Linked DNA regions of Caenorhabditis elegans. The protein of the gene in region 1 interacts with the protein of each later gene in a pairwise test. Each region holds a gene or a part of one and is shown in the gene's direction. Other genes may lie near its edges.

Region 1 (8,678 bases):
CGCCTGTGAAATCTATACGGCAAAGAAAGCAGAGCTCGCGAAAGCTCTTTCAGACGCTGGAGGCACTGATGCTCCACCAATTGATGAGGCAATTGATGCCGCTTTTCCGTTGCACCGACAAATTGTGCTCAATTATGCGAAAGATTTGACATGTGATGACGTCATTTATTCACTTGGTATGGAACGAAAAGTTGGGAAAAATTGGAAAAATCTAGCTGGAATTGCTCAATCCTGAGGAAAATGTGCAAAAATTGTTTTCAAAAAATGCAGAAGTTGAAAATTAAGAAAAACTAGTGAAAATGTTTCAAAAAAATTAAATTAAAGTTGAGATTTTTCGAAGTTTCTGAGAGATTTGAAGCCAAATTAAAAGCGTTTTTCTGAAATTTTTCAACGATTTCGTCTATTAGCACTACTACAAATCATTCAAAAACCCCCGAAAAAAAACAGAAATTAGTTAAAATTGACTTTAAATTCTAGAAAATTCACAAAAACTACAAAAAATTGGAAGTTTCTGAACAATTTTCAGCCATTTTTACTCCAAAATTTTGTTGAAATCGTTCAAAAATCAGTTTCGGTTTTATTTTAGCAAAAGTGTTTTTTTTTTGCGGAAATTTGATAGAAAAATTATTGAAAATGACTGAAAATTGGAATTTCAGCAAATTTTCGGTGTAAAAATTTTTCCGAAATCCAGCAAAAAAAAAAACGAAAAAAAATTATGGTATTTATGAGAAATTTTTTTTTTGCCTAATCTTCAAAATTTCAGGTCAATCACTGAAAAAACGCCAAATAACACTTGCCGAATACCTCCGCCATGTTCGTGACGTGTCCCGAGAGCAATTTATCTACCGAGCAACAATGCAGAAATGTCGACGAACTGCTGGTCTTCCTATTTAAAATTTAAATAAAATTTGGATTGAAAATCGTGGAAATTTTTGAGAAAAAATTGCTAATTTTTTGACCAAAACTGGAAAATCGTGAAAAATTGTCCATAAAAATGCTAAAAATTCGATAAAATTCTCGATTTTTGGATGAAAAATACTTTTTTCAATAAAAAGTGGGAATTTCAGCGATTTTCTGACGAAAAACTTAAAATTATTGCTGAGAAATCGAGAAAAATGCATTTTTTTAAAACGATTTTAGCTAAAAATTCCATATTTCATTTATTTTCCTGATGAAAAATTGTTTAACATCAAAATTTCGGTGCTTTTCCGTGATTTTTCAAGTTTTTTACATGTTTTTCCGTTAAAAATTCACTTAAATCTTCTAATTTCAGCCGAAAATTGTAAATTTCAATAATTCCCGTTAAAAATGATGGAGCTTCTATTGAAAATTACCTCGAAAAAAGCTTTCTTTTTTTGACGATTTTCCAGCCGAAACATGTAAATTACGACGAATTTCAGTGACTTTTTTGTCAAAAAAATTACGGTTTTCACTCATTTTTCCATCTTCTCATTTCAAAATTTCTCCCATTGCCGCCATTTTTCTCTAATACTCCCTTTCTCTCCGTCTTGATGCCCGTTGTGATTTGGTTTGTTCTCTCTCTCTCTCTCTTTTTTTCCGTTTTATAGACACAATTTTCTAGATTTTTCCCCATTTAAAATATCCAATTTTGCACCCATTTCCCCATTTTTCCCGGGGGAAAAGCTCGCTTTTCTCTCGAAATTCGATGACTTTTTCAGGTTTTTTGTTCATTTATTTTTTGTACAAAAATTTTAATTTAAATGTGATTTTTCCCCCCATTTTTTTCTGATTTTTTCGCTCAAAATACCGTGATTTTTGGCGGTTTTTCAATATTTTTGATAGATTTTTTTTGTTGCTATTTTTAAGCCAATTTTTCCAGCTTTTTGTGCTTGTGCTCGCGGAGCTCCCCACAAATGCAAGCGATCAAATGTGTCGTCGTTGGTGACGGAGCCGTCGGTAAAACGTGTCTCCTGATATCCTACACCACAAACGCATTTCCCGGAGAATATATTCCGACGGTGAGTCATTTTTAAAGCAAAAATTGAGATAAAATTACGTTTTTTGGCTCAGAAAATAGGACATTTTGACACAAAATCGAAAAAAAAAAACAAAGAAATTTAGGCAAAAAATATTCAAAATTGTTGTATTTTGATCCAAAAATCATTGAAATAAATATTTTTTTAGGCCAAAAACTGGGAAAAATAGTGAAATTATCAATACTGAAAATCGTGAACATTTTGATTTATAAAACATTTAAATAAAAAATAATTTAAATTAAATTTTTTTTGCTAAAAATCGTTTTAAAAAGTACATTTTTTTAATCAAAAAAATAAGTGAAATTTCACTGAAAAGTATGAAAATTAAAACTTCCGTTTTTTACGGAAAATCTAGACAAAAAACTTTTCAAAATGCGATAAAAAAGTTTTCTGCAAAAATCGTTTTAAGAAACACATTTTTAGCGAAATTTTGCTGAAAAATATGAAAATTGTCAACTTGTTCCCATAAAAATCAATAAATTAATATTTTTTATACCAAAAGCTGGGAAAATGGTGAAATTTCATATAAAAATTGGTATTTTTATTTGAAAAAAAAATGTCGAAAATTTCAAAAAACTTCAGTTTTTTTAAACGGAAAATCTAGAAAATTTTGATTCAAAAAACTTTTAAAAATGCAATAAAATTGTAGGCTTTTTGCAACAAAAAAATTGAAAATTTTGAAAAGCGCACAATTTCCCGCAAAAAATATGAAAGGTGTCTTCTTTTTCCCAAAAAAATGCTTTTTTCCCATAAATTCAAATTTTTTCCAGGTATTCGACAACTACTCAGCAAATGTGATGGTCGACGGTCGGCCGATAAATCTCGGGCTCTGGGATACAGCTGGACAGGAAGATTACGATCGGTACGGGCAGCGGGAAAACTGAAAATGCTCGAAAAAACTCAGGATTATGGGTTTTTTCAATAAAAAATTGCTCAGGATTATGTGATATTTTCCTCAATCAAAATGTGGAAAATATCACATTTTAGAAAATTTCATCCAATTTTTCATAAAATGACAGTGATTTTGAAGCTATTTTGTGGTGAAAAACTCGAAAAACATGGAATTTTTCGCACTTTGCACTAAAAATTACCCCAATTATCAATTTTTCAACACCAAAAAAATTTGCAGACTCCGACCACTGTCATATCCACAAACAGACGTGTTTCTCGTATGCTTTGCCCTGAACAATCCGGCGAGTTTTGAGAATGTTCGTGCGAAATGGTATCCAGAAGTGTCACATCATTGCCCGAATACGCCGATTATTTTGGTTGGAACGAAAGCTGATCTGCGTGAGGATCGAGATACTGTTGAACGGTAGATTTTTGGAGAATTTGAGAGAAAAATTGAGGAATAAAGTGAAAAATTTGTAGAAAATGATGAAAAATTGCCAAAAAATTCGAAAAAGCGCATAAAAATTCAGAAAATCACTTAAAAATTGAAGGAATACCGCCAAAACATTAGAAAAATCATTAGAAACGGCAAAAAAATGAGAAATAAGGAAAAAACGCATCAATTTCAGGAAAAAAAATTGCAAAAATTGTATGAAAAGTTGCGTAAAATAGCACAACATTCACATAAAATTTTGGAAAAAAATTTGCAAGATTTTGAGAAATTTGCTCAAAATGTTGAAAAAAAAATTAAAATTAAGATAAATCGCTAAAGAAATGTAAAAAGTTGCACTAAATTCGCATAAATTGTGGACAAAAGTTTGAAATTTTGAAAAAAAGCACATTAAACAAAATTGGCTTAAAATCGAGAAAACTTGCAAAAATTCCGAAAAAAAAAATTTTTTTTGCAGGCTCCGCGAACGCCGGCTCCAACCAGTGAGCCAAACCCAGGGCTACGTGATGGCAAAGGAAATCAAGGCTGTCAAGTATCTGGAGTGCTCGGCGCTCACGCAACGTGGTCTGAAACAAGTTTTCGATGAGGCGATCCGAGCCGTGCTCACGCCGCCACAAAGAGCCAAAAAGAGCAAGTGTACGGTGCTCTAAGATGGGGAAATTGGAGCAAACAATCGCAGAAACTACAACAATTTTAACTATATATATACATATATCATCTGGATTTTTTTTGTTTTATCGATGAATTTTGCTGTGAAATTACCGGTTTTTAGGGAGTAAAAATTGGCAAAAACTGAGCATTTTTAGGCAAAAAACTCGCCGATTTCCGTTCAAAGAAATGCTCCAAATCGGCTGAAAATTACTATTTTTTTTAACCGAAAATCGGCCAAATTTCCACTGAAAAAGCTCAATTTCAGCCGAAAATTTCTCGATTTTTTTCCAGAAAATTGTCCAAAATCTGGGCGTTTCCACTCTCTAAATCTGAATTTCCAGCACACTTTTTCTCATTTTCCCCCTCTATTTTTATCTCTAAAAATTTGTTTTGTATCAACGATTTTTCATCTTAAACTCGCTGTGATACTTTTCTTACTTATCCACCCCAATTTTCAGCATATTTTGTGCTCATTTTTGAGCCGAAAAATGCTCAATTTGTCCATTCATAATTTTGTGCTTTTCCCCTTTTCCCACCTGAAATAGGTCTTTTTTCATCTGAAAAATTGAATAACTTTTCCCCAAAAACCACAAGTGCTTTTTCCTCTCTAATTTTTATCGGTTTATTTTTTTTATTTGAAATTTCTTCGAAATTTTTGTGAAATTTCTTCGAAAAATCTGAAAATGTTTGGAAATCTCTACGATTTTTTCTAAAAAATGTTCAAACTTTTTGGAATTTGTTTGAAAAATTATTTGGAATTTTTCTGAAACTTTTTTTCAAAAACTTTCGATTTTTTTTTGTAATTTTTAGGACACAACGAACCCTCTCTCCACAACCAAAAATCCTCTTTTTTCTATTGTGAATTTGAACAACAAACTCGGCTCTTTTTCCCTTTTTTCTTACTTTAATTGTTAATTTCTCTTCTTTTTGTCCAACTTTTATTATGCTATTTTAATATGATGATATGATATTTTACCACACTTTTTTTCTATGATGGAATTTTAAATTTGAACATTTTTTGATGGAAAAATTGGAAAAAAAAACAATTCGAAAAGTTGCAGAGATTACAGATTTTTCTGAAACTTTCGATCAAAAATTTCAGATTCTGAGTTTTTTTACATTTGTTAATCGGACACAGAAATGAATGAAAAAAATCCTAAAAAATTTCCGAACTTTTGTTTTCTCGGTGGCCTAGAAAACCTAGATTTCTAGGAGTTTTCTAGTCCCCGGGCATTGGCCACCCAGCAAGCACGTGTGTGTGTTCATTGATCGTTAATGTGTGGGTTGACGCTGAAACTCTTGATCCCCAAAATCACTTTGATAAATCTTTTCAAACTGATTTTTTCCGATGAATCTCCAATCCATTTTCTGCTTCCCAAATACGGAACTTGAATAGTCAACGGAGTTATAAGAGTACTCACTAAGGTAGCGATTACCACAAAAGAGCACCCACAAGAACCATGTAACAACTGGATAGTGCTAAATATGATTGGGAACTGAAAACTGGTTCAAAAAATAAAATTGAATTACATCGAACTAAATACCGATTCAAATATTAGCGCAGTGACTGCCTGCCAGAAAATGTACTTTTGCAGAATATAATAATGACCAGAGGTTACGTAAGCATTTTTTCTAACGCTTCTCATGATCGGAATATAAAATAGTGTTGAAAACAGTTGTAAGACATACGGAATAATGATGGTTGCCTAAAATAGTCAATTATGTAATATCGGATTGACGGGACAGTCAGAATTTTCAAAGAAAAGTTTATGCGGAAATTCAAATTTTCAGATATAAATTTTTTGTGGAAGATACCAATTTCTTGTGATACTATTTTTGTTGGAAATGCAACTTTTCTGATAGAAAGCTTGACAAGAAATTTAAAAAATTTTACTGAAAAATCTTTGGCGCGAAATTTAAATTTTCTACAAAAAATTTTACTCTGAATGAAAATATAACAATTTTTGGCGGGAAATCCAAATATTCTGAATTAATCTACAGCGGGAAATTCAAAAGTTCTAATCAAATTTGGCGGAAAAGGTAAAAAAAGGTTTTGAAAGTTTTTTTCTTGGAAATTTTAGATTTTATGAGAAAATAATTTGGCGGGAAATTAAATTTATCTGATGATTCTGAATAGTTTTCAGGTGTCAAAGTTCCATTAAACGTACACTGGAAAATGTGTCAAACTTTGCCTCAGCCGCTGTGCTTCCATTTGATAGAACCCATAGTATCGCTTCTGTTATTAAAAATATGATATATAAATACCAAACGTCCTTGAAAAAGTGTTTCTGGATAATTGAAACTTGCTTCTCCAGTTTTGGGAAATAGAAAACCAGAAATTGTTGGAATGCCAGGAAAAACGTGGTAAGATAAAATGCCTTTGTAAGATGATACATGGTAAAACACAATGCATAAAAGATCACAACGATTAGAAAGCGAATTATTACACTGGAAATCAGAAAATTCTTTAAAAAATGGTTTTTTTAAAACTGAAACAGTACATTTCGTGAATTACATGTAGCAACGTATGGAGAATAATCGAGAAAACAAACAGGAAATACGCTAGCTGCACCATTTCGTAAAAATGTTGAACTGTTGGGAAGAGCAGCATCTACCAAAAAATTTTCCACTAATTTTCAGAAAATCACTTATGGGGTTATTCAAGTAATGTAGCAAAATGTATTTAGATACATGTTTTTATATACTTGAATACAGTTGTGACGTAATTTTTCTACACTTTTTAATTTTCCGACATTACTTGAATAACCCCATTACCTTCTTGTCCCGGTCTCTATTGATTTCATAGAGATACTTGTAGAATGGAAATATAATTAAGTTAATTAATAAAAAAGCATATGATATAAGGTCAAATTCAGCTCCTATGCTTTCGAAATATATGTTATCGGAGTTATTTGAAATTTTGGTGTCGTTCATTGATTTCTACTCGGGTTTTGAAAAAAAAAGTGAGTAGAAATGGGGTGCGATAATTCACCTGCACTTGAGAAACTATGAGAAAATAATAATAATAAAATTGGCAGCTGTTTAAAGGTGGAGTACCGAAATTTGGAAAATATTTTCAAACAAGTACAAACCCCTGATTTCGAAAAAAAATTCTCTGATTTTATATTTGAGCTTGAAATCACTTTGCGTCCCCATGAGTTTTTTCAAATGCGCGCCAAAAAATTATCATTGGAGTGCGCTTGCTTAGCTCCCGGAAATCGAGATGAAGCAAGCGTGCTCCAATGTGAATTTCTTTGAGCACACATTTGAAAAGGTCATGGGTGCACAAATGAAACTCGATCTTTAGCTGAAATTTAAAATCAGGGAAATTTTTTTGAATTTTTTCACATAAATATTCGAAATCAGGGGCAAACTTGGAGGCCAATTAACAATTTAGAAAAAAAAGTTTCAAAAAACTCAGAAATTTAAATTTTCGAAAATTATTCTCAGAAAAAAGTTTTTTTTAAAAAATTAAAATTCATTATTCCAATTCAATTTCTAATTAATAATATACTTACAAAAACAAAACACAACTCAAGAAATAATATTACTTCCAACATTTGCCACCAATTTGGCACTGCCTATCGATGCCGCCGTCGTCGTGGCCGCCAGCAAATGTGTAGGAATCTGCAAAAACTCTAAAAAATATTTGTTTTACTCCCCACTTACTTGGGCGGCTTAATCTTGTACTCCGAGCCACCTAATACAAGTACCTAATCTGAATATCAGGTTACCCCCCCCCCCCCCCCCCCCAGGTACTGTAACTATTTTGGGTGATGGGAAGAGAGATTAGGCTAATCTTGTTGTAAGTAGGTAAGCAAATATTCGAAAACTTAAAAAAAAAAGTTTGTTCCCCTGCCTACATGCCTGCCTATGCCTATTGTTATGAGTTTATGCGTTTTGGAGTGAAGCGATAACTAAGAAGTGATAACTAATTGACAAGGTTTCAAAATTGTTGAAATTTTGGATTTTCCGAGTAGCTGAAATTTTGAAAAAAAAAAAAGAAATTTTTGAGTATTGATAAAATTTTAATTACATACTGCAAACTACAGAAGCTACAAACTACAAAATCTTACGGTATTTAAATTCCTATACGGGTTGTATGCATAAAACGGATTCTGATGACAGATAAAGTTCAGTGGCGGAGCCGGAGTTGTCGGAATCGATGTGGTGGTGGGGCTCAGCGACGAGTTGAATAGAGCTGCTCCGGGTGTCCAGGCTGGAAAAAATTGCTTAACACTGGTTCACTAGGACCCCAGTTGTCGAAAATTGCCGAAAATTCCGGCAACTCGGTAACTTGAAAACAGTGACGTCAGAGTTATGGGCTAGTCGCCTAAAATTGTATAAAATTGCCGGAAATTGCCGAATATTGTTGAGGGGTTTTGAAAATTTGCAAAATTTGTCGAAAAATCCCAGAAACTGGGTACTTTGACAACAGTGACGTAAGAGCAAATCGCCGAAATGTGTCGAAAGTTGCCGAAAATTACAGAAAACTGCCAAACAGTGGCACAAGAATTCGTTTTCGGCAATTCGGCATTTTTAGACCAATTCTGTGATAAGTAGAAGGCCAGAAGCAGAAATTTGCCGATTTTTTCGGCAACTTACTAATAATTGTCGTTTCATTCTTTGCTTTTTTCTTCAAACACCCATCTGCATCGCCTTCCTCATTGGATTCTTCAGTAGTACTG
Region 2 (7,772 bases), on another chromosome or scaffold:
TTAGCAGTAGACAAAGTTATTCTCTTTTATTTTCGTTTGCTTGGAGGTTTTCCTCTGTTTTTTCTTCTTCTTTCTTTTGTAAAAACTAACGTCACCTTTCAAGCTCAGGATGGGGCGGAAGTGAATTTCAATGGGGCGGAAGTGAATTTCCGTCTGTGAGCCCGACAATTTTTCAGTCAAAAAGGTTGTTTTTATTCCGTTTGTTTTTGTCTCGCCAAGAAGTCATTCTTTTCTAGAGTATTTTCCTCAAAATTTCTTCCTATTCAATATTACATTATCATTGTTCGAATCTAATGTCAAGAATTCGTCTGTCTAGGATTTTCCAATTCCCAGAATGAGTGATATACGTATAAATGTATAAAATTGGAACGGCATAGGCTGACTGCTCAATGGGCTCCCCACTAACCCTCTTGAAATATGGCCTCATTCCGCTCTCTTCTCGTCTTTGTCCTTGGTCCGTCCGGCAGTCCCCTTCTTCAGAAAGTCATCGACTTTACATTTATTCCAAGGGGTGCGCGGCAATTGCCGTTCGGCAAATTTTTTGCCGACAAATGCGGCGATTTGCCGGAAATTTGCCGGTTTGCCAGAAATTATCAATTCCGGCACATGATCGATTTTTCGGAAATTTTCAATTCTGGCAATTTGCCGATTTGCCGAAAATCTAAAATTCTGGCAATTTGACGTTTTACCGATTTGCCGGAAATTTTTAATTCCGGCAATTTGCCGATTTGCCGGAAATGTTCGATTCCAGCAATTTACCAATTTGCCGGAAATTTTCAACTCCGGCAATTTACCAGTTTGCCGGAAATTTTCAATTCCGGCAATTTACCGATTTGCCGGAAATGTTTAATTACAACAATTTGACGGTTTACTGATTTGCCGGAAATTTTTAATTCCGGCAATTTGCCGATTTGCCGGAAATTTTCAATTTCGATTTTCCGAAAATTTAATTCCGGCAATTTATCCATTTGCCGGAAATTTCAAATCCGGCAATTTACCGATTTGCCGGAAATTTTTAATTCCGGCAATTTGCCGATTTGCCGGAAATGTTCGATTCCAGCAATTTACCAATTTGCCGGAAATTTTCAACTCCGGCAATTTACCAGTTTGCCGGAAATTTTCAATTCCGGCAATTTACCGATTTGCCGGAAATGTTTAATTACAACAATTTGACGGTTTACTGATTTGCCGGAAATTTTTAATTCCGGCAATTTGCCGATTTGCCGGAAATTTCCAATTTCGATTTTCCGAAAATTTAATTCCGGCAATTTATCCATTTGCCGGAAACTTCAAATCCGGCAATTTACCGATTTGCCGGAAATTTTCAATTCCAGCAATTTACCGATTTGTCGGAAATTTACCGATTTGCCGGAAATTTCAAATCCTGAAATTTTCCGATTTGCCGGAAACTTGCCTATTTGTCGAATGTTTCGATTCCGGCAAATTACCGATTTGCCTGAAATTTCAAATCCTGAAATTTGCCTATTTGTCGAAAGTTTCAATTCCGACTATTTGCCTATTTGTTGGAAATTTCAAATCCTGAAATTTACCGATGTGCCGGAAATTTCAATTCCAGCAATTTGCAGATTTGCCCAAAATTTATATTCCAGCAATTACCGATTCGCCGGAAATTTGCCTATTTGCCGGAAGTTTCGATTCCGGCAATTTATCGGTTTGCCGGAAATTTCAAATCCTGAAATTTGCCGATTTTCCTATCTACCGGAAAAAAAAACTTCCTCTTTCTCAATTTCTCCTTTTTTGTGTTGAATAGCACAAAAAACAGAAACAAAAATGAATGAAAGAAGCGACACACACAAAACGGCGAATCATAATAAATGCAAAGCAGTAGATTTTGCCTTTCGTGCCTACCACTCAATATTAAATGTCAGTTGGGACTTCGTGGTAGATTCAGTGCTTTTTACCTACTCGCGCTCCCTTATTTGCTCTCATGCTCCATTTTTTTCCGGCTTTGTGTGCAAAAGTTAGGTTTTAACTTTTTTTCTCGCAGTTTTTCTAATAATAACTTTTATATACTTCTAACGCTAAACTCTTGAGTTTTGGTCAGATATTATTTTGAGATAGAAAATCTCTTCAAGATGAATGATTATGAAAAAACTGTAGCGAAATAAAGAAATCGTCGCCTCGAGTGCAAATATTTGAGAGATTCATCGTCGGCAATCAGTTGGCATTTACTTTGTTTGAAATAGGGTTCATGCCGGCCCGGCACGCCGCGAGAAAAAGTTATCAAAGATGATATAGTTGCAAAATTTACTGCTTTTTGTCTAGTGGAATGAACTGTTCAGCAAAATCTTTTTTGTTACAGCGGGATTTGAATAGTTATTCTCAAGATTTACTAAACTACCTGTATTTTTATTGTTTTATTCAAGTTTTTTGAAAGAATAAATATAATTTCATCGAAAAAGCTATGAAAAACCGATTTAAATCCCATAGCAACAAAAACTTGAAACTACAGTACTCTTTAAAGGCGCACACCTTTCTGCATTTTTCGTAACACTTTTCGTGTCGAGGCCAGGCGCGATTTTTTTGCGATTTTCGGACATCAAAGGAAATACACCCACTGATTTTTTGCAAGTGTTTTGATTTTATTGACAATTGAAAGAAAAATCTATTTCCCCGTTGAACTGCCCACCTTTTCCAACAAAAAAAAAACCGCGCTTGCTTCCCAGAAAAGGGCAGGTTTCTAACGGGAACCCCCATATACTCCCCACTGTCACTTATTCTTGTATAACTATGATTCAATCAAGATGTTTGTGTTGTGCGGGAGCTCTCTCTCAACCCGGCAGGAAGACTATATGACTCACCGTCGTCTTTTGTGTGTCTGTGTGTCTTCGCACTTTGTGATCCCTCGCTATCATTTTCCCGCTCTACCCGTATGACCCGTCATCTTTATGTCCATATTTTTTTCTTTTCTCTTTTTTTTTAATCTTTGCCCACCCTCAACTATTAGTAATTTTAAGTTCCACTCAGGAATTTAATGTTGGCCCAATTTTTTTCCATTAAAATTTGGTGTTAAATTAATTGATTTATTTGAAAATAACATTTCTTTTAGTTCGAAAATGCTGAAAACTTACTTTTATTTATTTTTTAAAAATTTTTTGAATTGAAATTAAATGTATTTTCTATTTTTCTATATTTTGGCACTACCGAAAATAATTACCTCATATCCTTAATAATAATTTCAACTTTTTTTATTAAATTTCAGATTTACCTTAACATCGGGTCTGACAACCGTGTCGCTTACGACGCATTCTAATCATTAACCATGTCAACTTCAAAAAGTTCCAAGGTGAGATTCTAGAAAAAAAAACGATTTTTGTGAATATGTGTTCATTTTGCAGGTGCGAATACGGAATTTCATCGGGCGAATCTTCTCTCCCAGCGATAAAGACAAGGATCGAGACGATGAGATGAAGCCATCCTCGTCCGCAATGGATATTAGTCAGCCATATAACACAGTGCATCGGTACGGTTTTTTTTTCTAATATTCTCCAACAAACCCCAAATATTTGCAGAGTCCACGTTGGATACGACGGCCAGAAGTTCAGCGGACTGCCGCAACCATGGATGGATATTCTTCTCCGAGACATTAGGTAAAGCATCCCATCCCCACGTGGCGTCAGGCTGTCCCATGACGGTTTGATCTACAAAAAATGCGGGAATTTTTTGCCCTGGAAAATGTGACGTCAGTTGAGAACTCTGCGTCCCTTCTCCCGCATTTTTTGTAGATCTACGTAGATCAAGCCGAAATAAGACGCCCCGTGTCCCCCGGTTCTCGGTTCCCATTAACAAATTCTCAAAGCTATTTCAGTCTTGCCGATCAGAAGAAGGATCCGAACGCGGTGGTGACTGCGTTGAAGTTCTACGCACAATCAATGAAGGAGAACGAGAAGACGAAATTCATGACGACGAATAGTGTTTTCACGAATAGCGATGACGATGATGTGGACGTTCAGTTGACCGGACAAGTCACGGAACATTTGAGGAATTTGCAGTGTAGTAATGGTGAGATTTAGTGGAAAATAGAGAAAATTCTCAAATTGTGACTTCTAAATTGACAAAAACAATTTCGCAAACTTTTTTTGTATTGCAGTTGCACGAAATTAACGGTATTTTTTTTTCTTATTTTGCGAATTTTGGCAGCTTAAATCACTTTTTTTTCGGTGATTTTGGTTCAAACCAATCGTTAAAAAATTAAAAAAAAAAAAAAAAATGACAAAAATCAGATAAATGTCAATTTCCGGCGACTGAGACATAGAATAGTTGTGAAAATTGAACATTTTGAATATAATGAGCCAATTTTGTAAGAAATTGTTATAAACTGCCATCAAATCTCTGTTTTATCTCATGAAAATCTCATTTTTGCCCAAATCTACAATTTTGCAAACTTTTCTGTGATGCAGCTGTAAAAATAGGATTATTTTCCTATTTTGGCAGCTAAAGGCCCTTGTTTTTTCTGATTTTGGTTCAAACCAATAGTTAAAACACCTAAAATATGGCAAGAATGATCGTGGTGTCAGGCTGTCCCATTACGGTTTGATCTACAATAAATGCGGGAATTTTCTCGCCCAACAAATGTGACGTCAGCACGTTCCTGTGAACTTTGCGTCTCAACTCCCGCATTTTTTGTAGATCTACGTAGATCAAACCGACATGGGACACTCTGACACCATGCGAAATCAGTTATATGTTAAGGACCGAGCACAAATTTTTATTGCAGATTTACAAAATTTCCGGCAAATTGGTAAACCGTCAAATTGCCGGAATTGTAAATTTCCGGCAAACCGGCAAAGCGCAGTAATTCAAAATTTCTGGCAAATCGGTAAAACGTCAAATTGCCGGAATTGAAAATTTACAATTCCGGCAATTTGACGGTTTACCGATTTGCCGGAAATTTTGTAAATCTGCAAGAAACTTCTTTTTTTTTTGAAATCTTTTGCATTTTCCATCCCTAAAATCCGCGTATCTTTGCAGGTTCCGCAACTTCCCCATCTACATCAGTGTCAGCTTCATCTTCTTCTGCTCGTCCACTGACAAATGGAAATAATCATCTTTCCACGGCGTCGTCTACCGACACATCTCTCTCATTATCGGAAAGGAATAACGTTCCGTCTCCAGCTCCAGTTCCATATAGTGGTAAGTGAACATACACATAAATCTTTGCAATAATTCGATTTTTTTTTCAGAAAGTGCTCCACAACTGAAAACATTCACCGGAGAGACTCCAAAACTGCATCCACGATCTCCGTTCCCGCCTCAACCGCCAGTTCTTCCGCAACGAAGCAAAACCGCATCGGCAGTGGCGACGACGACGACGAATCCGACGACTTCGAATGGAGCACCACCACCAGTTCCTGGATCGAAAGGACCCCCGGTGCCACCGAAACCATCGGTATGATTTAATTTCCAAACTTTGCTGCATGTTTTGTCTTCTTGCTTCTAAACTTCGCGGCGGCGCCCAAACAAACAACACAAAAGCAGTTCATTTTCACTGTTGATGAGGTGATAGTGATATGTCCTCAGAAGTGGCAATTCAAAGAGGATCTTCTTCCCTCTTTGTGTATCGTTTTCAGGCTGCAACTATGTGTTGTTATGTGTGTGTGTGTGTAACACCATCAAAATCCACCAAATAGTTTTCGTTTTCAACGAGTTAATAGTACGCGAATTGAGAAGAAATCATGTCATTGAAAAAACGACGAAGATATCGGTTTACAGTCGAAACGAGATTTTTAGAGCGGCGACGACTTGCGAAAGGTGCGTGAGAGAGCGACGACAAGCCAATTAATCAGTGGCGGTAATTTTTCTGTTTTTTATCAGTCATATAAGAGTATTCGAGGTTGATGAGGTTGACGACGATGACGAGACGATTTCGAGGCAGAGTGACTGGTTTAAAAATGCCTTCAGCGCAGCAGGAGGCGATGCAAATAAGCTTCTTCTTTTTTCTCTTTTTTGCAGACTTCAGTTATCTCTTTTCGTGAGTGTTCACTGATTTGTGTTTTGATTTATGTTGTTCGTCAAATTTGTAGATTTGATCTTCTCACTTCCAAGCTCGGTGCACATTGTTCAAACTCTTTGCAATTCTGGTAGACCTGATCAAAGTCAATATCTATTTCACTGTTAACACACGATCACTGACTTTCATTCCGTCATTTACCGCTTTCTCATAGAGAAATTAGTCGTGAATTAGTAGGGCAAGTTTTCGAAATCTCAAGGCCAATTCGAAATATATCAATCTCCTCATCCTGCTGTCGATTTCTGTCACCTGGAGCGCCAGATATCTTCACCCGATTTCTCCATCATTTCAAATTTGACCTTCCACATGTTCTCTCAATTTCCATTACCCAATGTCAATCTTGAATTGACGGCTTCACCTAAAAATTCTAATTCTGATCCCTCACATCATTTCCATCCCGATGCCATTTACCTTCAAAGAGAGTGTTTGGCGCAACGGACGAATGGTGTCGTTTGCTAATACCAGTCAGTCTGCGATGAATTATGGTGCGATTTAGATGAATGGGGCACGTCAGATCAGAGAAGCTTTGGCCATCACTCAAATAAAAGAAACAAGTCAATTGATAGCGTATGTCTACGTCTATTCCAATTTACATGTGCTATGTGTATGTGTGTGTGTGTATAGCGCAGTGTTTTATGCAGAAGTAAAAGACACATCATCATCACAGAAGAAAGGAGAAGAAGCTTCATAGTCGGCGTCTTCTTCGTTTTGTTTGAAAAGTGAATACATTCCATCGCTTTCCCTCTTCGTCCGCATATTGAGCGGGGAGGCCTGCCCCTTCCTCCTCCTTTAAGTGATATGATTGCCATTCGACGGCCGACCCCCTGGCGGGCGCGCGCCAAGGCAACATTGCAATACCGGTCAGAGGTCTCTGAGGAAGCAGCAAAAAGAGAAGCCTAATCCAGAGAGTTTCTTGAACACTTGCCTTGCCAGGCTGCACCCATTGTATTTGTGTTCGCACTTTCACATGTTCCATCTAGTTCTCTCCGCAGCCAACCTGAAAGTGGCTCATGATTTCTTCTTTGCATTTCGCCGGCGTTTCCCATTTACGGAATAGTCCGGACCCCGTTACAACCCGCAACAACCTTTTTTAATAGAAATTTTGACTTTCATAACCTTCATTTTCTGCTTTCTTCGACACACGGCGACCTTCCAATGCTTACAGTTGACTGACCAGAAGTATTTGGTTTGCATAAGTTTGACGCCTCATTTGGTGTAGACTTTTGACCTACCATTTACCTTACACGCTTCTTATTCTACCTGCCCAAACTTCAAATTCGTTCCCTCGTTCCAAACGGATGATGCTTACGATTCTCAGATATATCTATGTATATCCGGCCTTCTCTCTCAGTCTCTCACTATGTGTAATTATAGAAGCACTTGTAATCGGCTAATTGGTTGTCTTAGAGGCCGTCATGACTTTAACTGTATTTTGTCGGCGGCTTCCGATACCTTTGGCATGTCGAAAAGCCGAAGAATAAATAAATGACGGTAGTTGTTTTTGCTTCTTTTTTTCTGAGTTTTCCTCTTAATTTTCTCTTTCCCATTCACAGTTCTAATAGACATGCGAGACCACACAGTTTTCTTGGATCATAAAAAAGCGAAGACCCGTCGTAAAATAATAGGAAAGGTCAGCGGCAGGAAGCATAATCATCCAAAAACTTTTATCCTTTCCATCTCTTTCTCGCGTGCCTCACATATCATTCCGGCAAATTGCCGGTTCGCCGATTTGCCGTAAATT

The links. Proteins that work in one complex are often made in the same cells at the same time.
Region 2: the proteins of ced-10 (region 1) and max-2 interact in a two-hybrid assay, tested with the Caenorhabditis elegans proteins (one study listed by BioGRID).

The regions. Positions count from the first base shown.
Region 1 is NC_003282.8:3,502,690-3,511,367, reverse strand, and holds ced-10 (Ras-related protein ced-10), read left to right. Parts: upstream 1-1,840; 5' UTR 1,841-1,874; coding exon 1,875-1,979; intron 1,980-2,259; exon of another isoform or gene 2,260-2,409; intron 2,410-2,767; coding exon 2,768-2,859; intron 2,860-3,126; coding exon 3,127-3,312; intron 3,313-3,796; coding exon 3,797-3,989; 3' UTR 3,990-5,040; downstream 5,041-8,678. Other genes in the region: tsg-101 (Tumor susceptibility gene 101 protein), read left to right, coding at 1-176, 764-894; srz-83 (Serpentine Receptor, class Z), read right to left, coding at 5,253-5,486, 5,535-5,696, 6,159-6,438, 6,492-6,601, 6,766-6,924; ceh-53 (Homeobox domain-containing protein), read right to left, coding at 7,525-7,617, 8,067-8,209, 8,596-8,678. UniProt on the Caenorhabditis elegans protein: Required in engulfing to control the phagocytosis of apoptotic cell corpses. Required in embryonic development for the correct positioning and orientation of the mitotic spindles and division planes in blastomere cells.
Region 2 is NC_003280.10:13,021,290-13,029,061, reverse strand, and holds the start of max-2 (non-specific serine/threonine protein kinase), read left to right. Parts: upstream 1-3,223; 5' UTR 3,224-3,283; coding exon 3,284-3,307; intron 3,308-3,359; coding exon 3,360-3,484; intron 3,485-3,533; coding exon 3,534-3,611; intron 3,612-3,820; coding exon 3,821-4,023; intron 4,024-4,992; coding exon 4,993-5,154; intron 5,155-5,204; coding exon 5,205-5,410; intron 5,411-7,772. UniProt on the Caenorhabditis elegans protein: Serine/threonine-protein kinase, which phosphorylates mlk-1. Involved in the stress response to heavy metals by activating the mlk-1/mek-1/kgb-1 pathway.